Pelodiscus sinensis: one gene and its partner. The main gene of each other region encodes a partner of the protein of the gene in region 2 in a complex. Links are inferred from orthologs where the notes say so. Each region holds a gene or a part of one and is shown on either strand. Other genes may lie near its edges. The genes, in order: ISCU and NFS1.

Region 1 (15,360 bases), on a different chromosome or scaffold from region 2:
TAAGTTGTCATGGGATAAGAAGGAAGATCCTTTCATGGACTGAGAACTGGTTAAAAGACAGGAAACAAAGGGTAGGAATAAAGGGTAAATTTTCAGAATGGAGAGGGGGGTAGCTACAGGTGTTCCCCAAGGGTCAATCCTAGGACCAATCCTATTCAACTTTTTCATAAATGATCTGGACAAAGTGAGGTGGCAAAATTTGCAGACAATACTAAACTGCTCAAGGTAGTTAAGACCAAAGCAGACTGAAGAACTTCCAAAAGTTCAAACTAACTGATTGGGCAACAAAATGACAAATGAAATTGAATGTGGATAAAAGTAAAGTAATGTACATTGGAAAAAATAACCCCAACTATACAAACAATATGATGGGGGTTAATTTAGCTACAACTAATTGGGAAAGAGATCTTGGGAGTCATCGTGGATAGTTCTCTGAAGACATCCATGCAGCATGCAGTGGCAGTTGAAAAAGCAAAACAGAATGTTAGGAATCATTAAAAAAGGGACAGGGAATAAGACAAAATATCTTATTGCCCTTATATAAATCCACAGTACACCCACACCTTGAATACTGAATAGAGGTGTGGTCTCATCTCAAAAAAGATATACTGGCATTAGAAAAAGTTCAGAGGAGGGCAATTAAAATGATTAGGGGTTTCGAATGGGTCCAATATGAGGAGAGATTAAAGAGACTAGGACTTTTCAGGTTGGAAAATAGGAGACTAAGGGGGGGATGTGATAGAGGTATATAAAATCATGAGTGGTATGGAGAGAGTAAATAAGGAAATGTTGTTTACTTGTTCCCATAGTATAAGAACTAGTTTCATTTGGTGGCCTCTAATGGGCAGCAGGTTTAAAACAAATAAAAGGAAGTTCTTCAGACAGCGCACAGTCAACCTGTGGAACTCCTTGCCTGAAGAGGTTGTGAAGGCTAGGACTATAACATGATTTAAAAGAGAACTAGATAACCTCCATGAATTTAAGTCCATTAATGGCTATTAGCCAGGATAGGTAAGGAATGGTGTCCCTAGCTTCTGTTTGCCAGAGGGTGGAAATGGATGGCAGGGGAAATATCGCTTGATCATTACCTGTTCGATTCACTCACTCTGGGGCACCTGGTATTGGCCACTGTCGGCAGACAGGATACCAGGCTGGATGGATCTTTGGTCTGACCCAGTATGGCCATTCTTATGTTCTTAACACAATTATACCCAATAGGAATTGCCATAGATTGTTTAATAAATTATGTACAGCATATGCAATAAAACTGATCTGCAATTTCATGGATAAGACATTCAGACTAAGGCAGAACACTTTCCAATATTACCTTTTACTATACAAAACTGTACAGCTAGTCTATGGATTTCAGACCTTCTAACATTTGAAACACCAGGATTTTCTTTGCTGAAAACTCAACTGTCACTCCAGAACTAACTGCCACCCATATCCGTACACATAATATGAAGTCAGAATAGACCAGTAGTCTGTGCTGAAATAAGCTCAAACATTCCAGTAATTTGAGCACCACATCAGTGGTTTAATACACATGAAACAGTGAAACATTGTGCGTATCTTATGTGCGTATTATACAGCTTTTTTTAGTACTGCACTGGTTCTCATGTCTAACATCTAAAGTAATTGCACTGTAGATTTAAGTGGAATGAGAGCAAGCTCTACAGTCTCAAACATTAGTTTTAAGTATTGGCTGCTTTCTTCTCCAACTCTTTCTTAGGATCTTGTTTCAACTTGTAATCTGCCAGAGCAGCCTTGATTGCATCTTCAGCAAGCACTGAAAAGTAAAAAAAAAAAAAGTGTTTAGAACCCTGTTTGTAAATAGGGAGTAAAAATGATCCACCTTAAACAACAACAGCAAAAACAGGCATTTGTGTTTGTATTGAGTATCTATAGTACTATGCAGCAGAGACACTGATAGAAAAAGAGAAGGCTAGTGTTTTTTGCAGGTTACGACTAATACACACAAGGAGTGTTTCAACAGCAAAGCCTGCCCTGTTCCTTAGTTGAGGGAATGCTCTTAATTTTCTCTCAGGAATTAATTGAAATCTATCTTATTCAACACCCTTAATATATGTTACATTCCTTTTAAGGGAGCCCACAAAGATTTAAAAATGGGGCCTATGTCATTTTTTGGCATTTATTAGTGAGGATTTTTCTTTAAGTGGGGGTTGCTACTTCACCTTACCAGCACCAGGAACTTCAGCTCTCATTGTCATTTATGTCTGAATTCACATTTACATTGAGGGAGAAGGGATACTGAATCTTGACTAATGTTCTGGAGAAAGGTAAACTGGTCAGACAAGACTTTCCTTCTGATTAAATGCTCAGCTTTCCTTTTTTGACTCTTTGATGTCACACCACTAATTCTCGAGTCAGTGGTGACTCTTAGATGAAAGATCTGGCTTCTAACAAAAATATAACAAAGTCTTTCAGGCCTTCATCATATGTTCCAAAATAGCCAAACCCTGTTTGTTTCTTTTGAAGGTCACCTTAAAAGAGATCACTAGGGCTATGCATTTAATTCATGAGAATTTATGGCAGACTCAAAAGGTGGGTAACACTAATGACATCCTGTTGACTGATGTCTTTTGCAAATACCTAGAATCCTCAGTAAGAATTGTAGAGTCAAACTACAGTAAGTTATACTATGTTGTTTCTGGGTTAGGTTAGACAATATAGGTTCTAAAAATTAAGACAGTTCGGTGTTTAAACAAGCTGCATTTAACTCAAACTTACTAGAACAGTGGAGTTTAACTGGAGGAAGACAGAGTTCTCTAGCAATATCAGTATTTCTGATCTTCAAGGCTTCGTCAACCTGAAATTTATAAACCTATTAATACAGGATTATGGCTGCTAGTCATCAATCACCTGAGGTGGTCATCTTGAGCCACAGATTTGTGAAAGACGTGTTTTGAGGACTAACCTTCAGGATGGGGTTGTGAGAGAAACATACAAAGAATTATTTTGGTATGCTTACTGATAGTGCAAAAGCATTTTAAAAGGGTTGTGTATAAACAAATTGCTCTGACCACCCTATCAACATCTTTCCCATTCTCCTTCCATCCCAAGATACCAGACGTAAGCAAAAAATTTTCATATGAACAGCTTCTGACAAACAAAGGCTAGGGACACCCTTCCTACCTATCCTGGCTAATAAATATTGAGGGATATATCCTCCATGAATTTAACTAGTTCTTTTTTGAACCCTGTTAAAGACTTGGTCTTCACAATATCCTCTGTCAGGAAAATATGCATAAATTATTTCTGGCTATGTAGGCCAAAGCCACTTTGAAAATTAAGCTATCAAAGTAAGGTCTGCTTTTCTAGAAATGGAAATTAAGATTAGTAAACTAGATCACATTTCATTGACAGGGATGAAATATTTTTAACCTGCTTCATTGTAGAAAAAATTCACACTAGGTAAAACGGAAACTTCATACTATGCTTCTCATGGTTCCACATATAGCCTCTAATAATGAATGGTGTAGCATTAATAGCGATTTATGCTGCTAGTTTTTGTGTAATATGCTCTTTCACAGATGTGAAGTCAGTTTTACCGTTTTTCCTTTAATCCATTCTGTGGCCAATGAGCTTGAGGCAATTGCTGATCCACAGCCAAATGTTTTGAATCTTGCATCAACAATTTTTCCATTTTTATCTACTTCAACCTGCAAGAATTCCAATGACATTGATTTGGTATATAATATTTGTGTTATATATTTGGTTACATAACATTCTTGTGGTACTATAACTGAAGAGGACTCAGCTTGATAATGATTTGATTTCAACCTATTCACAGAAATCAAGGCAAAGTATCCTTCACATTGGTATCCATGGTAGCAGAATAGGACCTAAGAGTAAGGCAAGGAATACTGTAAAACATTTACATTTTAGTTCTAGAAACGGAAAGTCATTTTACTAGTGGTTTAAGACAGCAGTTACAAGTAGACTTTAATGGACATCATCCACTTAAGGTCTACTTTTGTTTCAAAAGGTGAGTTAAATGTAGTCTTCAGAGCTGACACCTGCCTCTAAATCCTCCTGATATTCTTGTTGATTTTCACCAGAACATTTTAACAGTGGATAACATGACAATGTATGGGAAACAATCAGATATATAAATGAAATAGAGGCTCTTTTATATTTTTTATTTTACCACCTGTAATACCATTAAATCAGAATTATCCACCAGAAGTTTCATGTGAAGGCAGTTCTCATTTAAGACTAATATGTTCATATTCTGTAACTTTTCATTTTGTAAAGTTACTTGCATGTCCTCTCTTTTTTTCTGGCAAACAGCTTATATGATTGTCAACATAACCAGCGTGGTCAGTTCATAATATTCAATATACTAGAGATCTCTCAGTGAACACAGAAATAATCATGTTTGTTATTTGATAACTCACCTGTAATTTCATCACATCTCCACAGGCAGGGGCACCCACTAATCCAGTGCCAACGTTCTTTGCACTCTTATCAAGGGAGCCCACGTTTCTAGGATTTTCGTAGTGATCCACTACCTAAAAGGGAATTTTATTGGCAAGGATTATGGTATCTACAGTCCCTGTCTAGGAAAGCGCTCACAACGTCTGTGCAGTTTAAAACATACTGCAAGAAAGCCCAGTGCATGGCACGGCTGAGAACCTCCCCAACGCTGCCCCAGCTTCAAGGGCATGGGAGTCCATAAGCCCCCTAGTCCCACAATAGCCAGACCTCCTTCTCCTTTCCCAGTCCCAAGTTTCCCACACAACTCCCAGGATCCCATCCTCTTCTTCACCCCTGCCAAGTTCTTTCCTCCCAATCCCTCTCTGCTCTACCTCCCCTCCATGCTGATCTCACAACCAACAACCTCCTGCCCCAATGCTGCCCCCACCCCTCCCCCCTCTCTACTCCCCCCCGCCCCCAATGCTGCCCCCACCCCTCCCCCTCTCTACTCCCCCCCGCCCCCAATGCTGCCCCACCCCTCCCCCCTGTCTACTCCCCCCGCCCCCAATGCTGCCCCCACCCCTCCCCCCTCTCTACTCCCCCCCGCCCCCAATGCTGCCCCCACCCCTCCCCCCTCTCTACTCCCCCCCGCCCCCAATGCTGCCCCCACCCCTCCCCCCTCTCTACTCCCCCCCGCCCCCAATGCTGCCCCCACCCCTCCCCCTCTCTACTCCCCCCCGCCCCCAATGCTGCCCCCACCCCTCCCCCTCTCTACTCCCCCCTGCCCCAATGCTGCCCCCACCCCTCCCCCCCTCTACTCCCCCGCCCCCAATGCTGCCCCCACCCCTCCCCCCTCTACTCCCCCGCCCCCAATGCTGCCCCCACCCCTCCCCCCTCTCTACTCCCCCGCCCCCAATGCTGCCCCCACCCCTCCCCCCTCTCTACTCCCCCGCCCCCAATGCTGCCCCCACCCCTCTCTACTCCCCTCCCCCCTCTCTACTCCCCCCCGCCCCCATCCCTCTCTACTCCCCTCCCCCCTCTCTACTCCCCCCCGCCCCCATCGCTGCTGTCAGCCTCTTGCCCCCTCACGCCCCGCCCCTAAGGACTCACATCTCGCCTACAAGGCCCCCCCCGCCCCCAGTGCTGCTCCCGGCCCCCTCACTGACCTTCTTGTGATACCCCGCGGCGGGGCCTGCCAACCCCCCGGGCCCGGGTCTCAGCAGCGCAGCGGCAGCCCAGCCCCCCGTCAGCCTCAGCGCCGCCATCTTCTCTCGGCAGCGGGCAGCGCGAGATGTCCCGCCCTGTCCCCGCGCACTGTTAGGAGCGCGTCGCGTCACGCCCCCCACGTGACCCGCACGTGTCCTGGCCCCGCCCCCTCGCGAGGGGCAAAGGGCAGTGACTTGCGGGGCTCAAAGAGCAGCAGCTAGAAGGCGCGTGTCCGGCCCCTCCCCCCTGTGGTATCCAACCCGGCCGGTCACGTGTCTGCTGGTGCCGGCGGGGGCCGCGCAGCGCCGCGTGCAGCAGGGCGCGCCCCCAGGACATGTTTACGGCGCTTTGCATCCTTTTGCTCTGCGCTTGGGAAATGGACCCTCCACGCCTGCTCGGCATCGCTGCCCCGGGAGAGCTGCCCAGGCCTGAGCGAGCCAATAGCCGGGTCTGGATGAACCCGAGTATTGCCCGGCAGAAACCAACCCAGGCTTAACCAACAGCTGTTCTGTGCCTGGGCCCGGTGCACATTGTGCACACACCCACTTGCCTAGGGGAGCAACAAGCCATCCAAGCGGGGAAGACCCAGCCCACTGAGATATGTGTTTATGCCTTCCAGGCTTATTGCAATCAGTGGAACTCCTTGCTAGAGCAAATTGTGAAGATCAGGGTTCAAAAAAGGACTCTTGTACATTTCAAAAGCAGAAGTGCCAGGAGTGGGAACTGGTATGCTTCTGTTTCCATCCCACAGTGGAGACATGGTGGTGGGAACCTAATTGGTTCTTCCCAGCACAGGCTCCTGCTCCCTTCCACCTAATAGTTGACTAGTTGCTTAGGCTAGTCACTTACATCTCTAAAGCCAACTGTGTTTTGCACCATGTTCAGAACCATTTACAGGACTCACCTAACAGCTGGCTGACAGATGATCCACTCTCGGGCTGTGTCTAGACTGGCCAGTTTTTCTGGAAAATCAGTTGCTTTTCTGGAAAAACTTGCCTGCTGTCTACACTGGCCGCTTGAATTTCCGCAAAAGCACTGATTTCCTACTGTAAGAAATCAGCGTTTTTTGCGGAAATACTATGCTGCTCCCATTCGGGCAAAAGTCCCTTTTGTGCAAAACTTTTGCACAAAAGGGCCAGTGTAGACAGCTGAGATTTGTTTTGCGCAAAAAAGCCCTGATCGCGAAAATGATGATTGGGGCTTTTTTGCAGAAAAGTGTGTCTAGATTGGCCACGGACGCTTTTCCGCAAAAAGTGCTTTTGCGGAAAAGTGTCCGTGCCAATCTAGACGCTCTGTGCCGAAAATGCTTTTAACGGAAAACTTTTCTGTTAAAAACATTTCCGGAAAATCATGCCAGTCTAGACGTAGCCAGGCAGTTTATCCAAAGCCTGAATTTGTCCTATACAGTGTTGTAGTTTGACAATTAGCTAGTCAGGATTCCAGACCAGAGAGCTAATAATAGTCTTGCTCTGTTGTGATCAGTACTTGGTTTCTCATTTGGCTTCTGAGGGAATGAGTTCTAATGGGGGGGGGGGGGGGGGGAGAGAAGAGGTGCAAGTTTTTTTATTCATATTCCCATTTGCATATTTCCAGACCTTGCTGCCTTAGGATGCTTTACAGTTTTATCAAATATTTAGACAGCATCCTGAACACTGAGGTTGGACAGGTCAGAGGGAGTTTTGCAAATATCTGTTTTAATTTCTTGTGCAAGGTCACCAGAAAGAGGTAAGAGGGATGGAGGGGTGGACTTTGCAAATACATTTCACCATATTTAATTCCCATGCCATATCCCATTCTCTAGTGATGCAGCTACGGGAACTTTATAAAGACGAGAATATTTAATTTCTTATGCACTAGCCCCTGCACCATCCATGATACACGTACATCGTGTACTGAATGTCCAGTTATTACAATGGCTCTCATCCTGCTATGGTTGTGGGAGGATGAGCGGGGACGCAGCAACAAGACCCGAGCCATTTTGCTATGGACAGAGGTGCTCAAAGCCCAAGCAAGCCTTTGAGCCTGCGTACAGAAGAGTTGCCACACACAATATGGCGGCCAAGCCTGGGTCCTTCCCCTACCGACAAGCCCTGGCCAGGGGGACCTCCTTCAGGGCCCCGACATGCCCAGGAGGACCTCAGCAGCCCACGCAGGTGCCTGTAAGAATCCATCACGAGAAGGCCGTGACTCCCTAATCGGAAACAGCCGTTGCTGCAGAGCTGAGTACAGCGAGCTCCACCCGGGCCTTCAATCTTCTTGTCGGGGGTGCGTTCAGCATCTGCGCGGGGACGGGCGAGTCAGGCGCGCCAGCGGCAGCCCCGCGGCTTGGCCGAGGTCGGCAGGCAGTGCGCAGCGCGTAGCTGCACAAGATGGCGGAGGCGGCGGCAGCCGGGCCCGAAGAGACGGCGGCAGTAGCGGCGGCGGCGGAGGAAGAGCGGCGGCCGGAGGAGCAGGGCGGGGACGAGAGCGACTCGGGCTCGTCGGCGGATGGCGAGGACGAGGAGAAGGAGAACGAAGCCGAGATCCAGCGGCTGGAGGAGCAGGTGGGGATCGCGGCCCGGTGCTCGTGGGCACGCGGGGGGAGGGGGCGGGGCGCGAGCCGGGTGCGCCCGCGAAGCCCGTTGCCTCGCGCGTGGAGCCGCCCTCAGCCCTGCCTCGGCCGGCGGGGTCACCCTCGGTTCGGTCCCCGCAGCGCGCGGGGAGGGGGAGGCGGCTCCGCGGCTGCGGCTCGGGGTGTGCAGGAGGGAAGCGCCGCCCTGGGGGCTCTGCGAGTAGCGCCCAGGCCAGAGCATCGGGCCCTCATCCTTGGGGGGTGTGAGCATCCAGACTGGGGGCTAGTCACTGCTCAGCAGGAGCCCCCACGCTTTCTGTAGGGTGCACAGAAGAACAGAATCCTTCTCTGCCCTTGCTTATCGCTGCTTGCCTTCATCTGTTAGGAGCTATAGGCCAGGGATTGTCTGTGTGTGCACAGGAAGCAGAGTTGCATTTTGTGGGGGCTAGGGCCGTACACATCATTAATATTGATAGAGCAAAGGAATCAATAGGTGATGGAGTCTGTATCGTGGCCCCCCCATTAAATGTTGGAGCACAATTAACATGTGAAGAAAGGGAGAGATTTTTGGAACTAGTGGATTAAAGAGAATAAGGAACATGTGATAGTATAGATGGGTGAACTTTTAGGTGTGGGGAATTCACACCCATTCATTCTGTAGTGTTAATCCAGGATTGTATAATTCTGCTGTCTGTTGTAAAATATCAAGAAATCCTTTCTGTTTGTTTATAGTCTCAAATTCTTTGAACACACAGTGGAACAAGGGATGTTAAAAATCGTGTAATAGGGTAACTGTGAAACTGCTAAAAATCTTAGTGGCTACATGTGCTACTGGTTCAGCAGTACTGTAGAGCCTTCAGTGAAGCTGCCTACCTCGCTTGGGAGGAGGAAGAGAGCTGCTTGTCCTCCCTGGGAAGGAAACTTCTCTTCCCTACTGCAGTGAAACCACCTCCCCCTGGAATTGGTTGAGTGTAATCTGTACCATTAACTGATAAGCATCAGCTGATTGGTTAAACAGTTAATCAGTTAAACCCTAATATTGCTAACAAATTCAAAGTTTCATAATCATGTGTAATGTATGTACATTATACTATTCATAAACTATGTGTGGTTTCTGTTCGAGAATTGAAATATGTACCTTTTTTAGCTGTCTTGGTACACAACCCTTTCAGTTGGAGACACTTTCAGAATTTCTACAGAAATGTGCTCTTCGCTTTTAATTTCAGCATGGTAATTATGAAAATGTTATATCTTTATGAAATAGTTCTGTTGTGTAATTCTTTGGTGTTTTAATTGCTATGGCAAACTGGAATAGTGCTAACTTCAGAGGGTTTTCTCTATGCACTGATTACTGAAATAATTGATGGTTGCAACCAGGAATAGAACTTCTTGAGGACTAATATAATTGGAAAGCATGCGTGTCTGTTGTTGAAATGAACTGCAAGGTGGACCATGCAGTAACAAATGTTTTTCTGAGCTTGACGTACATTGAGAATAGGGAGGCAGAACCTTAATTAGAAAAGAACTTCGATCTTTTCACATCTCAGAAACTACTATTTTATCTTGAGAACTGCTTATGTTTGCTATTTCCAGTTATTAGATGGGAAGCTAACATTTTTTGGATATTTATATTAGTTTACTGGAGCAAATTCTCCGTTTTTGTACAGTGTTATTGAAAAGTGGGATCTACTGCAATTTGGATACAAACCATCAGTTTTACCACTAAAATGATGATTAGACAAATGTGCACAACTGCTTAGTGAGATTTAGGCACCTGCTTATTATGCTTATCACCTGAGGATCCACATTATTAAACAGTGGCTTCTAGCTCCAAGGGCTCAGTTCAGTCACCTGCCAAAATAGAATCTTTCATTTTGTACCCTCAGTGGGCTTTGAAAACAATGAAACATTGCACAACCTTTATGCAGACTGGTGAAAGGCGTGTATTATTTTCACTTCACATTGAGCAGTCTGGGGGTAGGTCTACACTAGCACTTTGACTGGTGTATTTTATGTTGCTCGGGGTGTGAACAAACCACTCCCTGAGCAATGTAAATTACGCCAACATAAGAACCATTGTGAACTGCTCTATGTTGTTAAGAGATCTTCTCCAGCTGCCACTTGTTGGGGTGGATTAATTGGAGAGCTCTCTCCAGTCCACTGAGAGCAGCTCCACTAGAGAGCTTACAGTTGCACTGCTGTAAGCTCTATAGTGTAGCCATTACCTGAGACACTGAAGGAATTGATGGCACAGTCCAAAATAGAACTCTGAAGTTCTACCCTAGTAACCAATTGCTGGATATACTCTCTTACATTTCTTCATCTCCTTTTTAAAGCTTTCCATCAATGCATTTGACTATAACTGTCACTTGGACCTAATAAAACTGCTTCGCCAGGAAGGAGAGCTGGTAAAGCTTAGAAGAGCCCGCCAGAAGATGAGTGAACTCTTTCCCCTGACTGAAGGTACAGGATTACTTTAGTTCACACTGGTTATCCTTCTGTAAGCTCCTCCCACTGTTTTTAGCAGCTAAATTGAACATTTTGTAAAATAGTGGTGTTGAATTTTAACATGGAAGTACAAATCAGACATTTTTGGGGATTGTAGTTAGTGGATGCTTCTGATGATGAAGTCCAGTGTTGAGCATACAAATTCCTGCCAAAAGGTTAATATTTCATAATACAGTAAAACTCTGATGGTCCGGCATCTGACGGTCTGGCACTCCTGATGGTCCGGCACCATCAGGAACCCGGAAATGCTCTGGGTAGCCGGACCATTGGAGCTGCTCTGCCCCCAGCTTCCCCAATTCAGCCGCTGCTAAAACTGATCAGCGCTGAATCCGGGAAGCAGGGGGCAGAACAGCTGGAGTGCTGCCGGGTAGGTCCAGTAGCACTGCCCCTCGGGGCTGCGGGACCAACCCAGCGGCTGACTCCAGGAAGCCCGAGACAGAGCTGCTCCGTCCCAGCTTCCTGGAATCAGCCACTGGTCAGTTTCAGCAGCAGCTGACTTGGGTACACCTAGGACAGAGCAGCTGGGGTGCTGCTGGGTTGGTCCCCACAGCGCCGAGGTTTGGCGCTACCAGACCAACCCAGCAGCGCCCCAGCTGCTCTGTCCCAGGCGTCCTGATTCAGCCACTGCTGAAACTGACCAGGGCTGACTCCAGGAAGCCCGGGGCAGAGCAGCTCTGCCTCTGGCTTTCTGGTGTCAGCCGCTGATCAGTTTCTGCAGCGGCTGACTTGGGGACACCTGGGGCAGAGAAGCTGGGGTGCTGCCGGGTTGGTCCAGTAGTGCCGAGGAGCGGCGCTGTGGGACCAACCCGTCAGCACCCCAGCTGCTCTGCCCCAGGCGTCCCCAAGAGCAGTTGGGGTACTGACGGGTTGGTCTCGCGGCGCCAAGGGTCGGCGCTACCGGACCAACCCGGCAGCACTCCAGCTGCTCTGCTGCAGGCGTCCCCGATTCAGCCGCTGCTGAAACTGACCAGCAGCGGCTGAATCAGGGGCTCCTGGGGCAGAGCCGGACTAACAGAAGGGAGGGCTATGAGAGGGTCTGGGGTAGCATCTCCCCACCCCACCCCAGACCCCTCATAGCCCCCCCCTTCTGATAGTCCGGCATATTTGATAATCCGGCACCCCGTGGGTCCTAAAGGTGCCGGATTATCGGAGGTTTACTGTATGTTGTAAAAGGATGCTGTTGAAAGTTACAAATAGCCTATTAGCCTAATTTTTTTTTTATTGACGGGACAGACAGCATCTGGGCAAACTTCCCTGTACAGCCTGGCAGACGTGCCTTGACCTGACATGGAAGGGCCTCTTCCCAGAAAGAGGGTGAGAGAACCGCCTTTGTGGCTGTTCAGTGATTGGCATCTGCTGTGTATCTAGAAGGGTACAAATTGTGCTAGTAATCACTTGTGCTATGGGCCATTGTTCCCTGGGAATTGAACTGACATTTATCATATAAGCATCATGGTAATGCTCTACCTTTACAAATAGATAGATATTTACTTAAATATTTGGTGGTAGGATTGTAAAAACTGGCCAAAGCTTTAGTAAAATTTGTTATAGCTAACTGTAAAAGTTCAAAAAAGTGTTACAAAAAATAACCACATTTTCAAACTATGCTATGTAGTGATGCCAAGTTAAACTAATTTCTTATCTTTTGGATTCTTTTGAATATTCTTGGTAATGTACCTCTGAAGTTCCTGTTCTTTTTCAGAAATTTGGCTAGATTGGTTGAAGGATGAGATAAGGATGGCTTCTGAAAACACTGATCGTGAGAAGGTTTATGAGCTGTTTGAGAGAGCTGTGAAAGACTATATCTGTAAGTTGCAAAGATCCCCTGCAAAATAAACATTTGTAGTTTTGCATTCTTCTTCACTGCTTTCTTATGGTTAATACTGTGAAAAATACTCCCCCAAATTTGTTTTGGATCTGTGCGGTAAAGAATAGCTGTTTTAAAAGTAATAACTCACAATCTGTTGATGATACTTAGATGGAGATTTGAAATTTATGCAAATTGGAGAGAAGTTGTTGAAGGATTCAGCTCTATTGTATCATTTCATTGATTTCAGTGGAGAGCAGCTGATTAACACTACATTTCCTGGCTTTGTATCTTGCTGTTACCTGATGAGGAGTCTGTCCTTACAGATATTGAATCCTGTATCCTATAATTAATTCTTCTGTTCTTGTTTTTAGAAAGTGTTTTTAAAAGGCTTATTTTCAGTACCTTGCATTTTTCTGTAGACCTTATTTTTTAGTTCCTGCTCTCTTTCATGTGTTTCTATTATGTCCACAGTCTGTAAAAGCTTTTTAAGAGTGAGTTGCTATTAATTACAAAAAAGACATAATCCTTTATTAACCTACCTACTTAAATACTCAAGCTAACCCACATTTCACAGCACTGGGCCGCTGGGACTTTCATTAAAAGAGAGACAAATATCTGGTACTTGTTCACACCTATTCATCAAGCAATGGCTGCTGCTAAGTACCTAATTATTAGGCTGAACAGTCAGGTTTGCTTCATGTATTATAGTGGTGGAGCTAGCTGTGAAATGAATTGGCAGATATTATTGATGTGTCAGTAGTAGGGATGTTAAATTTGTATGCAATCAGGTAATCAGTTAGTCAATGGAATTTCCATCAACTACTCAGGCAGTCAATAAGGGGGTAAACTGCAGAGCTACAATGGGGTTAGTTCCCGGCCCCAGGAGCTAACCCTGCTGTGGCTCTACCTTTTAAACATATTAAGAGCTTAGCAGCTCTTAATACATTTTGAAAAGCAGAGGTGCAGTGTCTGGGACCGGGTGTGAGCTGGGACAGCTGATTCCTGGCTCATACCTGGTCCACCGCTACACCTCTGCCTCTCTGTCCTTTTTGTCCCTGATGGTTCCAGGGAACCGGCTTTAAAGCTAGCTTCCCGCAGCACTGACCCCCCCCCCCCCCCACTCCTTGTTCCTCTGGTAGAGGAAGCAAGGTGGTTGGGAGGAAAGCGACTGGTAGAGTCACTACTCAGATACTTGATAAGCGCATGCTTATGGCATAGTTGACTGGTCGCTTACATCCCTAGTCAGTAGTAGCTATTTGTTAATTCTTCAAAGCCACTCTTGAACTTCTAAAAATCATGTACAAAAGGAATTATTCTCTGACCACCCAGGGAATTGATATAGAATAAAAGTGATGGAACTGCTCACTCAGCTTTTCTTATCCCCATTGCCAACAGACCATTATTTTTAGTTTTCCCTGAATTTTTGCAATAGTTTGATTTAGAGCAATTAAAAAAAATGCAAAACTTCAGGAAAGGATAGCATGCAGGTTTTGTAATTTGGAATGACAAGTGGGGGCATGGGACATGGAATTTAGGAGATGAAAGGCTAATTGGGTTTTGTTGTGGTCTGTGGTGTAACATTGGAGGTCTGGTGCTCAGCCCTGCTCTCTAGCTCTACCTTGCAGTTTTACTGCCATTTTTTTGTCCTTTCTTGCTTATTTGTGCTGTTCCTGCAGGACACAGACAGGTATTAATAGTCTGGAGCTTTTATAAACATTACAGACTAGAGCAGGTTGGAAAATGGATTTTCAATCCCATGAAAAAATTGTGCATCCACCCTTTTCAGTCTAATAACATACCTCACTTACACACATCAGTGAAACTATAATGTGGAACTCCATGCACAGAAATGTAAAAAATCCATGCCCACCCACTATTTGTTGAAAGATGTGAATGTAATAGTTAATATGGCTGGCATTTAAAGATGTCCGTTGATAAGTCAGGTCGAAGATTGTTAATCATGGGAAGCCGGAGGTAGTTGAGATTGCAGGGTAACTGGAGAGTGGATTACAATTTGGATTTTGAGTGAGTGCTTTTTTAAGGTATATGATGAACTAGTATCCTTCATTCTCTGTACCTGGGAACCTTGCGGCCAGCCCTGTGACCTGGCTCTTACTACATTTAAACTGCAGAGCTGCAGTGGGGGATAGCTCCTGGATCTGGCGTGATCCAGGACTGAGCACCTTTCCTTATTGGCTTATCATGTACTTGATACAAATTCTATCGATTATACGATTAGCAAATTACGCACCTCTTCATCCTAACTTTTGACCGGTTATGTTCCTGCCCTATAGTAATTTAATCTAGATCAGTGTTTCTCAAACTTTTTAAATAAAGTACCCTTAAAAAAAAAAAGTACCCCCAGTACCTACAGTTTTCAGCGACACAATTTTTTTTCTACCATTGCAACACATTTGCTTAAACAACATAATCATAGCTGGCGATGAAATTTTTGGATGTAAAAAGTACAAAAATAATAAAATGCTGTAAAACTGAAAACAAAAATTCAATGTTCTCCAAATTTCAGTTGTGTTGACATATCCCGCAGTCTTCTCTCAAGTACCCCAACGGTACTCGTACCACTGGTTGAGAAACACTGATTTAGATCACATCCCAAATTTGTTTGAGGCCGACGTGACACTGTATCAAAAGTCTTACAAAAATTAGGTATATTAATGTGTTCAATTAAGTAACTGTGTAGTTGCTGATACAGAGGCAGTAGCAGTGCAGGGGCAGGAGGGAGAGAGCCGGTGGCTCCCCAGGAGCTGGAGCACGAATATCTGGAGCCTGTGTGTAACTGAACATTAATCAATGAGCTCACACTTTCACATCCCTGCTGTTCCTA
Region 2 (15,598 bases):
TTGTATACTTCCTCGTCTAGTGTGGCGGGGGGTTTGCATAGGCTATCTGCATTCAAGACTATTACTTGTGAACATAAATCCTCCTGAAAAGAAGGGGAAAATGCAAGAAACATTCAGTGTATTCAATATTCAGTATGTCCCAGAGGCAACCAAAATACAGCCCTAAACTTTCACAGCAAGGCAAAAATCCATTGACCTAGAATGTGAAAACAGTAGTTACTGAAATGGCAGATACATGCCTGAGAGGGAGGTTTTCAAAGGCGCCATAGGGATTTATGACAAGTGCCATTTGCTTTCAAACCCCCGAGCAGCTTTGGAAAGCCTCACTTCACCCCCAAGTCATTTAATTCTACCACTTAAATTGCTTTAGTATAAAACATGTTTCATTTTGAGTTTGCCAAACTAGACCTCACATGGGAAACACTTATGCTGCTAGAGATCAAGTTACCAAGTCTCACCTACTAGGAGCTACACCAGAAAGATGGGGATTGGCGCACGTAAACTTAGACAGGCTCTGAGAAGCCTCACCTGCCTGGCTCGTTCCATAGCAGACTCACTCTCCCAGCCATAGGCATGAGTCCTGGAATGGGGGTTGCCATAGTAGTGCATTAGATAAGGGAGCATGCTGTCCAGAACTCTGGGGTCCTAGAAGACAAGAAGCAATTGTTAAAAGCAGTTTGTTGTTCCTCCTCCTTTCCCCTGCAATAGATAAGCCAGAGGAGGGGAACCTACAGCCTGCAGGCCAGATCTGGTCCCTGGCTTTACTTGGTCTGGCCCGCAGTGAAGCTGACTCAGGGCCCACACCCCTACCAGCAGGGCAAGCCAGTGATAGCACTCCAGCCCTGCTGCAAGTCTCCCTGCCTCAGCACCACCTTTGGGACTAGAGCACTAGCACTGGCTCGCCCACGGCAGTGGGAAGGGAAGCCCAAAGCCTTGCCTAGGGCAGGATCAAGGGAAGCCAGGGGCCAGATCTGGGCCCACAGAGATGGCGCGTAAGGGAGTCCTGACATCCTGAGTGTGTCTAGGAGTCTTTCCACCCTGAGGTCAGTGAGGGGTTTGGTTTTGTTTGTTCGTTGTTTCTCCAGGGCCAGGCCCCTGAGGGGTTTGTTTTCTTTGTTATTGATTCTTCTTACTCGTCTATGACCCCTGAATGATTTTTCTTTGGATCAGTGGCTCTCAACCAAAAAAAGGTTCCCTGCCCTTGACATATGTGTCACTTTATCCCAGGCCAGCTGCCAGCGTATTCCAAACTACTGTGAATGCACAAACATTTTGCATATGCTCTGTATTAACCTATCCAGTGAGCAGCAAACAATTCTGAAACATTTTATGTTTTATCTAAGATGGCTCTTCATCGCTGCAGATTTATTTAATTCAAATGACATGATTAGACAGTACTTGATGATAGCCACCACCATAAGGTGCATTTATTTTACCTTTTCCCCAGGAATATTAAGAGGTTTCTAATTATTAACCCTCACAATATCTAAATGTTGATGAAAGACATTCTGGCCATAATACATTTATGCTGAAGGAAGAAGACTGGACTTTCAGACAAAGACCCACTTCTCAACTGTTACTGAGGTACAACGATAGAATTTTAGTTGCATACTACCCTAAAGCTGGTTTGATGCAGCACTGAATAGTAATGCTTATCACAGTGACCACAAAAAAGATGGTGAGTGCCTTAAACTGGGTAAACTACTGGACTCTTTTTTAAGCACAAATAAGACCGTCTCTTCTCAGTCCCTCCAGCTACGTTTACATTGCGCTCTCTTGTGCAAGAACATACGCAAATGAGGTGTGGCGATATCGCCGCGCCTCTTGCATAGTTAATGAGCTGCCATTTTGCACACGGGGTTTTGCACAAGAAGGAGCAATCTATACTCCTTGTTGCGCAAAAACCCTCTCTCGCGCAAGAGCCTTTCTGCCACTTATTTTCAGGCAGAATGGTTTTTGCGCAAAAACGGCGGCTCATTTGTATATGTTCTTGCACAAGACAGTACAATGTAGACGTAGCTTTCATGTGTAGTGAGAAAGAGCGAATGATGGGGAAAGCCAAGATGTAGTTGGGGGTGAGATTATGTTCATTATGAGAACAAGAAGCTTGAGTCTGATGCGGGAAGAGAAGAAAACTAACAGATGGAGTGATTGTGGGAAGGAATGACACATCAAGAATGAATGAGGAAGACTAGATATTGGACTTTGTTACAAAGGGTTCATTCTCCCTCAGAGAGTACTGAAAAAACAGCTTTTCCCCCACAGATACTGGGAAATCAAGTGTAAAAATGTAATAAGAAAAGCAAAAAAAGATTTTGAGGAACAGCTAGCCAAAAACTCAAAAAGAAATAACAAAATGTTTTTTAAGTACATTAGAAGCAGGAAGCCTGCTAAAAAACCTGTGGGTCCCCTAGATGTTCGAACTATAAAAGGAGCAATCAAGGACGATAAAGCCATTGCGGAGAAACTAAATGATTTCTTTGCTTCAGTCTTCACGGCTGAGGACGTTGGGGAGATTCCCGAAACTGCACCGTCCTTTGTGGGTGATGAACCTGAGGAACTGTCCCGGATTGAAGTGTCATTAGAGGAGGTTTTGGAACAAATAGAAAAACTTAACGTTAACAAACTCCGGGACCAGATGGCATTCATCAAAGGGTTCTAAAAGAACTCAAATGGGAAATTGCTGAGCTATTATCTGTGGTTTGTAACCTATCCTTTAAATCGGCTTCCATACCTAATGACTGGAAGGTAGCCAACGTGACACCAATATTTAAAAAGGGTTCTAGAGGCGATCCTGGCAATTACAGACCGGTAAGTCTAACTTCAGTACCGGGCAAATTAGTCGAAACAATACTAAAGAATAAAATTGTGAAGCATGTAGAAGAACATAATTTGTTGGACAAAAGTCAACATGGTTTCTGTAAAGGGAAATCCTGTTTTACTAATCTGTTAGAGTTCTCTGAAGGGGTTAACAAACATGCAGATAAGGGGGATCCAGTAGATATAGTATACTTGGATTTTCAGAAAGCCTTTGACAAGGTCCCTCACCAAAGGCTCTTGTGTAAATTGCATGGCCATGGGATAAGAGGGAAGGTCCTTTCTTGGATTGAGAACTGGTTAAAAGACAGGAAACAAAGGTTAGGAAGAAATGGTAAATTTTCAGAATGGAGAGGGGTAACTAGTGGTGTCCCCTTAGGGCCAGTCCTGGGACCAATCCTTTTCAACTTATTCATAAATGATCTGGAGAAAGGGGTAAGCCGTGAGGTAGTAAAGTTTGCAGATGATACAAAACTGTTTAGGATAGTCAAGACAGAAGCAGACTGTGAGGGACTCCAAAAAGATCTCACCAAACTGAGTGATTGGGCAACAAAATGGCAAATTAAATTTAATGTGGATAAGTGTAAAGTAATGCACATCGGGAAAATTACCCCAACTATACGTACAGTATGATGGGGGCTAATTTGGCTACGACAAATCAGGAAAGAGATCTTGGAGTTATCGCGGACAGTTCTCTGAAAACTTCCACGCACTGTGCAGCGGCGGTAAAAAAGGCAAATAGGATGCTAGGAATTATTAGGAAAGGGACAGAAAATAAGACACAGAATATCTTACTGCCCCTGTATACAACTATGGTACGCCCACATCTTGAATACTGTGTACAAATGTGGTCTCCTCACCTCAAAAAAGATATTTTGGCCTTGGAAAGGGTTCAGAAAAGGGCAACTAAAATGATTAGGGGTTTGGAACGGGTCCCATATGAGGAGAGGTTAAAGCGACTGGGACTTTTCAGTTTAGAAAAGAGGAGACTGAGGGGGGAATATGATAGAGGTCTATAAAATCATGAGTGGTGTGGAGAGGGCCGATAAAGAAAAGTTATTGATTAGTTCCCTAAATAGAAGAACTATAGGACACCAAATGAAATTAATGGGTAGCAGGTTTAAAACTAATAAAAGGAAGTTCTTCTTCACACAGCGCGTAGTCAACCTGTGGAACTCCTTGCCAGAGGAGGCTGTGAAGGCTAGGACTATAATAGAGTTTAAAGAGAAGCTAGATAATTTCATGGAGGTTAGGTCCATAAAAGGCTATTAGCCAAGGGATAAAATGGTGTCCTTGGCCTCTGTTTGTCAGAGGCTGGAGAGAGATGGCAAGAGACAAATCGCTTGATCATTGTCTTCGGTCCACCCTCTCTGGGGCACTTGGTGCTGGCCACTGTCGGCAGACAGGATACTGGGCTAGAAGGACCTTTGGTCTGACCCACTACGGCCGTTCTTATGTTCTTATACTCATGAGCATTTGGACTCACTTATTGAAGTCTGCATTTCTCATTGTTAAGATTGTGTCATGGTTACTTGTAGTAAAAGTAACAACATTCACAGAAGGCTGTAAATAAAATACTAAAAATAATGGCGGTGAGGAGATGACTGAAGCTTGAGTGGTGGGGGATGAGAGCTTAAGTGCTGTGGGGGCAGGAGAGATCTGCACTGAGAGCAGCAGGGGAGGGAACCTCTTCCAGCACTGCTGGAGAGCTGCAGGAGGAGAGCGCACCCACTCCCCGGGGCTGCGACCAAAAGCTTTAGTCCAAGACTGATACAAACCAACGTCACAGAGAGTTCTAGAAATCACAGAATCTGTGATTTCCAGGACACACCTTGCCCATTAGGCAAGTAGCCTATCAGGTTACAACCACAGGGTTCATTCTAGGGCACCAGCATATGTTCGCATCACTTCATTTTACTAACCAGAGAAGTAGTTGCCTGGACATCCATATACAATGGCCGGAGCGTGGATTCTTCACTAAGACCCTTTTCTACAAAGGGAAAAAAAACACAGGACAGTGATAGCTGCACAGCAAGCACAAAGTACAAAGAAGGACACAATGGGAGAGAGAGGAAAAAAGCAAAACACTGCAACAACAGAAGCTGAAAGTGGCTTCAGGAAAAGAACATCGGAGAAACCACAGTCAGCAGAGTACGTGTCCACTGAGAACACACAGCGCACTTGGCACGCTGAAGGAGAACTAACCACTGCCTGTGTTGCTAGGAAAGCGGAGGAAGACACCCGTGTTCTCTGGCAAGTGGCCACAGCCAGCCCAGGTCAACAGTGTACATGAAAGGAAACATCAGGAGTCCTGAAGCTTCACCACACTCATCAGCCGGAGGTATTTCTATGGCCACCATCACCAACAATCTTCAGGACATTCACTACACTCAGGTGAGGCATGACCCATTTTACAGGAGGCAAGCGAGGCCCAGAGAAATCTGCCCACAGGCCAGGGTGCCAACGTTCCCCTGGCCCTGCCCCACGCCCTGCAGCCCCCTTCACTTGGTGGCTCGCTCACCCACCCTCACTGGGCTGGGCAGGGGCTTAGTGTGGGGGGGGCTCTAGGCTGGAAGCCTGAGAAGGGGCAGAGGCTGAGGCATGGGCAGGAGGCAGAGCTTGGGGTGCAGGGATCAGGGTTTGGGCACGGGAGGCATGGGGGGGGGCTGGGGGGGCAGAGTTTGGGGCGGGGGTCGGGCTGAGAGGAGGGCAGAGATTGGGGGCAGGGGGGCGAGCTGGGGGGCAGAGTTTGGGGGGCGGGCTGAGGGGGGAGCCGAGTTTGGGGCGGGGGGTTCGCGGAGGGGCGGGGGGGCTCCCATCGGCCCCAGGGCCCCGCCCAGCCCGGCCCGGCGCGCTCACCCCGGCGCGGCGCCGCCCTCGACACCCGCCGGGCCCCCGGGCCGCCGAGCGCGCGCGCCCCCGCCCCCCGCAGCAGCAGCGACAGCGACATCTCCGCGCGGCCAGGCCGGAAGCTTCCCCTGACCTTTCACCCCCGCGCGTCATCGCGGCGCGCCGGAAGTGGCGGCGGGGCTGGCGCGGCGGCCGGAGGCGCGAGCGAGGTGAGGCCGCGGGCCGGGGGGGTCGGCGGGTTCCCAGGGGCCCCCCCCCCGGCTGTGGGCGGGGCCTCAGCGCCTTCTCTTGCAGATGCCGGTGAGCGTGGGGCCCTACGGGCAGGCGCAGCCCAGCTGCTTCGAGCGGGTCAAGATGGGCTTCGCGATGGGCTTCGCCGTGGGCGTGGCGGCGGGCGCGCTCTTCGGCGCCTTCTCCTGCCTCAGGTAGGGGGCGGGGCCCGGGCACGCGCGGGGGGGCGGCGGACAAGCTGGACCCCCCCGCTCCACAGCCCCAGGAGCGCGGGGGCCGCGCGGCGCCACAAAACATTCCATTCGCCAGAGTAGCGGCGGGCTGCGAACTGCCGCCTCCTGCCTGCGGGGGGAGGGGCGCGCCGAGCCCAGAGCCCGGCTCCCTCTGCGCCCAGCCTGCTGCCCTGGCCCTGCCCGCACCTCCCGCAAACTCCGGTACGAGCTCAGTGTGCAGCGCTGCCGGATCCTGGGAGACCGGCTTGGCTACAGTCGTGGCCCACTGGGCTGGAGGGCGGCTCGTGCAACCCACGTGCTGGTGTATACAGTCTAGAAGTGAATGAAGCCAAATCCAGTCTCATCTGTCATAGATTGTTGCTGCAGTAGCAGAACCTTGCACCGTTTCCTCTTTTTCAGGGTTGGCATGAGAGGACGAGAACTGATGGGCGGAGTTGGCAAAACCATGATGCAAAGTGGTGGCACGTTTGGGACATTCATGGCCATTGGCATGGGAATCCGCTGCTAATCTGGAGCATGGGATTGTTTTTAACCCGAAGACAAATGCCCCAATTCAGTCATTCCACCTCTGTAATATAATAAAACCTTTGGGTATCTAGAAAGTTAAATTCTCCGTCTCAGTGAGATTGGTATAAGGCTTCAATCGTGCTCTCAGATTCTAACTACAGGGTTTTCTACTGCACACCACACAGCCTCTGGTACGAAGCAGCAGGCCTAGTAGTGACCGAACTTACTGTCCTTCCCTAGGTGGTGAGGAGAACCTGAAATCTGACATTTTAAAGGTAGAAAGCAAAACTGATTAAAGAGCCACCCTCCTACACCTTCCACTCTTCCCATAGCTACAGGAACAGATTAGCTCCCCAGTTAAATAATGCTGTCTGTTCCAAGTGATCTCATAGGTGTCGGCTTTCAGCCTGGGCTTGACCAGCCCTCAGTTCCTTCCGTCTCTTGCCTCTGGGTCTCTGCTGGAATCCCCACTCCTGGAAATGTCCACTATTCCCTGCTGGAGATAGGACTTATTTGCATGATCTTGAGGAGCAGTGCCAAGGACTCAGCCCTGACAGCGGGTGGCCAAAGCCTCTCTCAGAGCTGCAGGGTATCTTCCTTAAACAAGGGGATGGGAAAGTGAAAGCCAGTCACTGTCTGGGACTGGGTTTCCCCAGCTGGCTCCCTACCAGTCTCTAGCGTCCCTTCTTCATGGTCAAGTTTTCCCCTGCTCCATGGCCATTTTCACCTTTGTAAGCTTCCCTTCTTCAGACAAAGCATGCTCTGTGCAGGTATGCTCATGGCACAGTTGGGGGCTGTCCTATCCCTGGCCTCACAAGCCCAGAAAGCTTTCTTGTTCAAGCAGCTGCCAGTCTCTTGGGGAAAAGCATGTTTGCATGCTACTTCCCAGCACCATGCTGCACCTAGCTCTGGGACAAGCGTGCCAGCTACCAGCCTTGCACCAAGAGGTGAGAGACCGTTGGAGAGAACAGCCACAGCAAAGTAGGTACATGGGCTGTGACTAGGAAACAGGGCTGCCCAGCAGTTTACCTGGCATTTCCATGAGCCACTTTGATGTGTGAGCCACCTTCTCCCTGGCAAACAGCTTTAGGCTCAAATATAGGATGGGGAACACTGTGCCTGCAAAGTTGCGGGACAGTCCCCCCCCCCCTTGCCTGTATCTGCAGCTGTGTAGAGAAAGGACTGGAGACATCTAGTCGGCAAGGACAGACATTCAGCTCAGCTGTACTGACAACATTAAAGCTTCATTGCAATAGCACAGCTCACCTTTGATCTCTTACATAAATCACTTCTAGCATGGCCTAGTTAGGTTTGGCAAAGTGAGCTAACCTCTGGCACGAAAGTGAACACTATTAGGTGACTAACTTGGCAGGCTCCACTTTAAAGTGGAAATGGCCCAAGGAGATTGAGGACAAAGACTGGATCTGCCACTAATCTTTATTAAGACTGCCACCCTATCACTCATCCACTTGTAGCATAAGAACAGCCCTATTTGGTCAGCCCAAAGCTCCATCTAGCTCAGGATACTGACTTCTGGCAGTGGCTAAAGCCAAATGTCCCAGAGTGAGTAAACAGAACAGGAGAAGGGATCATGTGATGGTTCTCTGTCACCCATGCCCAATTTCTGAGGGGGCAGGGACACGATTCTTACCCTGCCTGACTCTTATGTATTGATGGACCTGACCTCCATACATTTCTCAATACGCTGCTGAACCCTGTTACAAGTCCTGGTCTTCACAACATCCTCCAGCAAGGAGGTCTACAAGTTGACTGTGCTGTGTGAAGAGATACCTCCTTTTGTTTGAAACCTGCTGTGACGGCACGTTGGGGTCCCCTGTCTCCTGCACCCAGAAATGGCACAAACAGACTGCACCAGCCGGTGGAATAGAGGAAGTTTATTACCTCTCCAGGGATACAGCACAGCACAGATGTAATCTGGTCACAGAGCTGGGCTAGGATGCCTCAGGCCCCCTTGAGATGGGGGAGACTGGGCCCTTAAACTCCAGCCCCTTTCCATAGGCTGTCTCCTCCATGCTCTCAGACAGCAACTAACCCACACTCTTCCAGCCCTGCCCCCAGCCAGGGCAGCATTCCACCTTCCTTTGTTCCTCTCCATGGGGGGTGTCTGGCCATACTGGTTTGCATAGTGACTCATCCTGTTTTGCTGGGTCGTGGTACCCACGGCAGCCAGTGGGGGTTATCCCAGAGCCAGCAGCATAGAAACCAGCCAGGTACCCCCACTATGTCACACCTGCTACGGGCATTACTGAAGTGCCAACCTTTGTGTTCAAACTGACCTTAAGTTGATATGGAATTGAACTGTGGCATTGGCTTCGGGGACCAGGACTGTAGTCTGGCTCCTTCATTCTGTAATTCCGTGGTCACCAACCAATAGATCTCAGGGGCTCTAAGAGTAGCTCTTGAGCCCTCTGTGAACTGCGCACCTGCGCAGTACATTTACATTAGATTTCCTCATGTAATGTAGGCGGGGCTTCAAGGAAGGGGCAGGGCAGTAGATCTTCGCCTGTTCTGAGACTTAAAAAGTGATCTTGGGTGTAAAAAGGTTGGAGACCACTGCTGTAATTCCTTTGCCCCCTCCATTCTCAGTATTACCTCCCATGTCTCAGGTCCTTTGGGGCACAGGCTGAGATCTTTCTCCAACCAGTCCTAGAGTTGTCTCCAGCTGATGGTTTGTGACAGGTTCTCCCCAGGATCCCTGAGAACATGGTATCAAAATCTTCCTGACTTTTGACAGTGACTAATTGACATACTTGAACTGTTTCATAGAACACTAGAATTGGAAGAGACCTCAAGAGGTCCAGTCCAGTCCAGTCCCCTGCCCTTAGGGCAGGACCCAGTACCATCTGGACCCGTGCTCACCAACCAGTAGATCACGATCTACCGGTAGATCTCAGGGGCTCTAAGAGTAGCTCTTGAGCCCTCTGTGAACTGCGCACCTGCGCAGTACATTTACATTAGATTTCCTCATGTAATGTAGGCGGGGCTTCAAAGAAGGGGCAGGGCAGTAGATCTTTGCCTGTTCTGAGACTTAAAAAGTGATCTTGGGTGTAAAATGGTTGGAGACCACTGATCTAGACCATCCCTGATAGACATTTATCTAACCTACTTTTAAATATCTCCAGAGATGGGGATTCCACAACCTCCCTAGGCAATTTATTCCAGGGTTTAACCACCCTTAAGCTACGGCTACACTGGCATGAATTTCCAGAAATGCTTAAAACGGAATACTATTCCGTTTTCAGCTTCTCCAGAAACGGAGCGTCTACATTGGCCGCGGAGTTTCCGTGATAACGATGCGCTTTTCCAGAAAAGCGCGTCTACATTGGCGGCGCGCTTTTCCGGAAAAGCAAAAGCCCGGAACCATTTTGAAAAGGGCAAAGGCCACCAGACCTTTACGGGGGCGGGGCTGGAGCTCCGTCCAGATGCGTGGTTAAAGGGGTCTCGCCAGGTAGCTGTTGGTCTCGTGCTCCCGTGCCTTGGGACCTCTGCCAGGGACTGGCACCCTTCACAGGGTCGGTGGTTGCCCTGTGAGTTTTGGGGACACCACCCTTGGGCCCCCAACTGCTTTTCCCAGCGTCTTCTTTTTTCTGCCCTGCTCTATCTGCCATGGAGCCATGGGTGGCCATGTACCTGCTCAGACCCCTGTTGGACCTGTACATATGCCCTGGCGTTCATATACCAGGAGGCAGAGATCACCTTGGACTCCCTCACCAGGGAGGTCCTGGCAACCGCGTGGCATCAGCACCCTACCATAGACCGGCCCATCTGGACTTTGTAGACGACTTTGTCAGGGTGCCCATTGTGGCGCGCATCTCGCGGCATTCTTCCAGGAACGCAGCCCATCCCTCCTGCCGCCACTCCTGGTTCCCCTGCACACGCTCCGCAATGGAGGTCTGGATCCCCTCCACCGTGGTGACGTGACGCCGAAGCAGCTGGTCCCGGTGTCAGAGCCTGGGCTTCCGGGCTTGGGCAGCTGGGGGTGCCGCTGCTGCTGGAGTCGTGGGTCTGGTGCTGGGTCCCGCTGCAGGGAAGAGAAGAAAGGACGGGTCAGTCAGGCAGGCTGTCCACTGTCCCCACACCTCCATGCCCTCCACCCCGGAGCCCAGGTGACTGCACAGTTGTGGCTTGGGCCCACTCGGTTCCCCTCCCGCTCCCGTGTTGTATGTTGTCAAGGAGGACCGCCCCTGGAGTAGGGTCCTCCCTCCAGTATTGTAAGCACCAGTCTGTATCCTGGCCCTGTGCAGGGCGGGAGGGTGCTTGTGCTGTGTTCACCTGTGGAACTCCCTGCCGGTGGACACTGTGAAAAGCTTAGGGCTAATGAGTGGTGTTTGACAGGGAGCGAGATGCATCCCCACGGCAGTGCCTGGGAGCACACCTGTCAGTGGCGGTCTGGGCTCTCAGATCCCCTCGCGTGGGATATCTCCTGGACAGAACCAGAAGGGTGACTGGGTGGGGGGATGTCCCATCCTTGCAGCAAAACTCAGGGGCCCTTCTCCCTCCCACTATCCCTCCCGCAAGCCTGGTAGCCCAGGGACAGGTGTGGCCACAGTGGGGACTTCCCTCGGGGAACCTGTCAAAGCACTGGGAGCAGGTGAGGGGCTCGGTGGGGGTCCACGGTCACAGGACTGTGACACTGCGCTTATCCCAGGAGCAGCTGGCTGTGCCTCACAGCCAGGCATGGGACAGTGTGCCATTCCCTGTGCTGCACCCCTTGGTGGAGCTGCGGGCTCTGGGCTGAGTCCCTGGGGCCCTGGCCGGTTCCAGCCGGCATCCACCCTTCCCCCTGGTCCCGCCGAATGTGTGCGAGGAGCACGGTCCCAGGCGTGCCCTGCAGCTGCCTGCCACGGCCACCTGCCGCTCGGTCACCAGGCTGCACATGGTTGCACGTGCTGCTGCCTCATGCTACGCAGCGTGCAGCTCACGTGGCCTGAGTGACATGCTCCCCTTCTCCCCCCTCCGGGGACCTGGCTCTCCCTCCCCCCCGCCCTCCGCCCTTTGGGAGTGTAACCTTCAAAGACTCACCAGTGGGTTCCTCCCCGGCCACAGAGGAGCTGCTGGAGGAGGCCTGCTGGGTGGCAACGCTGGCCTCCTCTCCCAAAGCGCCGCCACTGTTGTCTCCCTCCTCCAGCTCGGTGGGACGGTTGATGGGGGGGGTGCTGGCAGGTGTCTACAGGGACAGCTGGGGCTTGCGGGGCTGGCTCACCCAGAAAAGAGTGCAGCCTCTCAAAATAGGGGCAGGCATCGGGTCCTGCTCCGCTCCCCTCCATGGCCCGCACGTACCCCAGCCACAGCTCCTTCACCTTGGAGCGCACCTGCTCGCAGTTGCGGCTGGGGTGGCCTTGCTGGGCCAGGTTTCGTGCCAGCCGGGTGTACAAGTCGGCGTTCCGGCGGTGGGACTGCAGGTCATGGAGACCCTCCTCCTCCTCCCACAAGTCCAGGAGGGTCTCCAGCTCCCTGGGGGTCCAGGATGGGGCCCTGCGTTTCCGGCCCCTGGGGGCTTCCTCCCCTGCCCCGGGTGACGGTGGCTGACGACCACCTGGAGCTGCCATGCCTGCACTGAAGTGGCTGGGCAGCACAGTTGCCACGTGGCAGAGCTGGGAAGGGTGGTCTCCGGGGGGCTCCTGCCAGCGTGCGGGCTCTTTAAGCCCTCGGGTTACGCGGAAGTCCGCGGCTTCTACGGGGTCTCCTGCCGTCCAAACCGCTTTTTTCTGTTTCTTCTGCTTTTCCGGAAAAGCTGTCTACACTGGCCCTTTTCTGGAAAAGCTTTTCCGGAAAAAGGACTTTTGCCCGAGCGGGAGCAGCGTAGCGTTTCCGGAAAAGCGGCTGATTTTCCGGAATAAGTGGCCCAGTGTAGACACAGCCTGAGCGTTAGGAAGTTTTTCCTAATGTCCAACCTAAACCTCCCTTGCTACAATTTAAGCCCATTTCTTCTTGTCCTATCAGAGGCCAAGAAGAACAATTTTTCTCCCTCCTTGTGACACCCTTTTAGATACCTGAAGACCGCTATCATGTCCCCCCGTGGTCGTCTTCTTGCCACACTAAACCAAATTATTTCAGTCTTCCTTCATAGGTCACGTCTTATAGATCTTTTATCATTCTTGATGCTCATCTCTGGTCCCTCTCCATTTTCTCCACATCTTTGTTGAAATGTGGTGCCCAGAACTGGACACAATACTCGAACTGAAACCTGATCAGCACAGAATAGAACCGAAGAATGACTTCTTGTGTCTTGCTCACAATGTTCGTTAATGCATCCCAGAATCATGTTTGCTTTTTTTTGCAATACTATCATGCTGACGACTCATATTTAGCTTGTGGTCCACTATGACCCCTAGATCCTTTTCTGCAGTACTCCTTCCTAGACAGTCATTTCCCATTCTGTATGTGAGAGACTGATTGTTCCTTCCTAAGTGGAGCACTTTGCATCTGTCCTTATTAAACTTGATCCTATTTACCTCAGACCATTTCTCCAGATCTTTTTGAATTACGACCCATCCTCCAAAGCACTTGCAGCCCCTCCCAGTTTGGTATCATCTGCAAACTTAGTAACTGTCCTCTCTATGCCAGTATCTAAATTGTTGAATAAGATAGTGAACAGAACCAGTCCCAAAACAGATCCCTGCGGAATCCCACTTATTAATGGTTCACAATCCTGCTGGAAGGGCATAAGTCCTCTGAGATCTGTTATCCAGTCAGTTATGTATCCACCTTATAGTAGCCCCATGTAGGTTGTATTTGCCTGGTTTATTGAGAATACCATGTGAGACTATCAAATGCCTTACTAAAGTCTAGGTATACCACATCCACAAGGCCTGTTATCCTATTAAAGAAAGCTATCAATCAGATTGGTTTGACGTGATTTGTTCTTTACAGATCCATGCTGGCTGTTACTCGTCAGCTTATCTTCCAGGTGTTGGCAGATGAATTCCTTAATTACTTCATTATCTTTCCTGGCACAGAAGTTAAACGGACTGGTCTGTTATCTTATTTCCCTTTTTATAGAGTGGCACTAGGTTTGCCCTCTTCCAGTTTTCTGGAATCTTTCCTGACTTTTGTGATTTTTCAAAGATGATAGCTAAAAGCTTAGATACCTCCTCTGTCAGCTCCTTGAGTATTCTAGGATGCATTTCATCAGGCTCTGGTGACTTACAAACATCTCACTTTTCTAAGTAATTTTTAAGTTATCTTTTAGACCTATCCCCTCTTCCCACTAAATGAGTGAAATCAACAGAACATACAATAGTTAACTGATCCCTCCTGTCACCCCAGTCCAGCTTCTTGCAAACAGGGTGTAATTAGCTGAGGGTTGATAAAATCGTAAGGCTTGACTAAAAGGTCTGAAATCTAGTGAGCAAGACTTTGGCTCAATGAAACTGCAGGTAGGAAAGAGGGTTGGCTTAAAAGAAACACAGGCCACCCCCCACCCTGACAACCTAATTTGTTCATGGAGAACCATCCTAAGTTGAATCCTTATTTCCCATAGGTGCAATGTTATAAATGGTGGTTCCTGTTTCTGGAAACCCATTTCACACCCAAAAAAATACCAACATTGACTATGGAAATTGAGGAAAACTAAATACTTCAAATAATGCACAAAACACACTAAAAAGTGAAGGCCGGTGTGACACATGCGCCCAGTTCAAGCAGCAGCTGCAGACTGGTGAGTCTGACCTTGTGCGTTTCCTGTTTTGGAACGACGCGTGGAGCCTGTGTCGTACACCGTCGTAAATGTAAGCTGCAGATGTAAATTGGGGGGTTTTAGGAGCTATCTTGCATGAAAAAATGGTTGTAAGTGCAGGGAGTCATAAGTTGGGGGTTGCCTGTAGTATAAGTGAGGTCAAGCATAAAGAACACCAAAAAGTACCAGACACAGGAACCAAGCATCTTGGTATCAACTACTCCCCCAAAATAAAGTACATACCAAGGTAGGTTCAGGACCAGGTCTAAGTTGACAATATGAACAATAGTAACTAAGTCCCCTCTTATGCGAGGTAAAGTTCAATAACCAGGTAACAGAGGGTGGCAACCTCATGTCAGTGATGTGTAGCTTGTTTGTACCTGTGTATAAATGTGCACCTCTGAGGGTGAATTACCAGCTGACTGTGGGGGAGGCATATGCACAGTGGCTGGCATTTAATGGGTGTCAGCGCATTGCCATGGCTTACATAAAGTGCAGTGGCACTGCAGCAAGTCTGTTTGCTGTATTAGTGTAGCTGTCACCCTGTTTGGGTGATTTCGATCCTTATCTGATTTGTGGTCTCTAGGGGCTCTTTCCTGAGTATCATTAACTAATTGTGCATGGTTAATGCCTACTCATTTTATGTTACCAACCCTCAACTTACTACACAGGTTAGGGAGTGAGCATCCCTGCTCAGCCGGCTGATTACCAGCTATTGGTGGACTTAGAATACAAAACAATTTTTTTTGAAAGATTTAGTTTAGAAAAATCTCCCCCCAGCAGATTTCACAGGCTTACATGTTGACACACACTCCTTTGTTTTAAAACTTCTGCCTATTAATATAATTGGGTGACCCTTAGTTCTGGCATTACATGGAGTAAATATTTCCTTATTTACTTTCAGCTCCCGTCAAGATTTTTAGTAGGCCTCTATCATCCACTCCATTAATCATCTCTTCCAAGAATGGTCTGTATTTTTAATCTCTCCTCAGAGGGAAACTTCCAAACCCTCATTCATTTTTGTTGCCCTTCAATGCAGCTTTTCGGATTGCAAAATGTCCTTCAGACAGGACACCCATTTCTCCAGGCAGCATTCAAGATGATGATATATATTTTCGTCTCATCTATCACTTTCCTAATGGTTCCTAACATTGTTACCTTGACTGCTGCTGCAATGGAATGCTTTAAAAAAAATTAACTATCCACTGTGACTCCCAGGATCTTTCAATGCTACCACCTAATTTAGACTTTTATATATAGT

What was found.
Region 1: the proteins of NFS1 (region 2) and ISCU are in contact, whole or in part, in a crystal structure (PDB 6W1D), measured with the Homo sapiens proteins. The link is inferred for Pelodiscus sinensis from reciprocal best matches to the Homo sapiens genes NFS1 and ISCU. Residues at the interface, in NP_066923.3 of Homo sapiens: Tyr360, Val361, Glu362, Glu364, Ser365, Leu367, Met368, Ala369, Lys371, Glu399, Asp400, His403, Ser404, His429, Arg432, Leu433, Glu435, Met436, Ser437, Pro438, Leu439, Glu441, Met442, Trp454, Thr455; in NP_998760.1 of Homo sapiens: Tyr35, Val40, His42, Tyr43, Glu44, Val49, Gly50, Ser51, Leu63, Val64, Gly65, Ala66, Pro67, Ala68, Cys69, Gly70, Val72, Lys74, Phe90, Lys91, Thr92, Phe93, Gly94, Cys95, Gly96, Ile99, Lys135.

The regions. Positions count from the first base shown.
Region 1 is NC_134725.1:36,562,917-36,578,276, reverse strand, and holds ISCU (iron-sulfur cluster assembly enzyme ISCU), read right to left. Parts: upstream 5,765-15,360; 5' UTR 5,706-5,764; coding exon 5,607-5,705; intron 4,536-5,606; coding exon 4,422-4,535; intron 3,684-4,421; coding exon 3,573-3,683; intron 2,831-3,572; coding exon 2,752-2,830; intron 1,790-2,751; coding exon 1,695-1,789; 3' UTR 1,220-1,694; downstream 1-1,219. Other genes in the region: SART3 (spliceosome associated factor 3, U4/U6 recycling protein), read left to right, coding at 8,016-8,189, 10,534-10,660, 12,408-12,512.
Region 2 is NC_134728.1:32,076,009-32,091,606, forward strand, and holds the start of NFS1 (cysteine desulfurase), read right to left. Parts: upstream 5,815-15,598; 5' UTR 5,768-5,814; coding exon 5,677-5,767; intron 4,808-5,676; coding exon 4,740-4,807; intron 646-4,739; coding exon 529-645; intron 1-528. Other genes in the region: ROMO1 (reactive oxygen species modulator 1), read left to right, coding at 5,962-6,092, 6,531-6,639.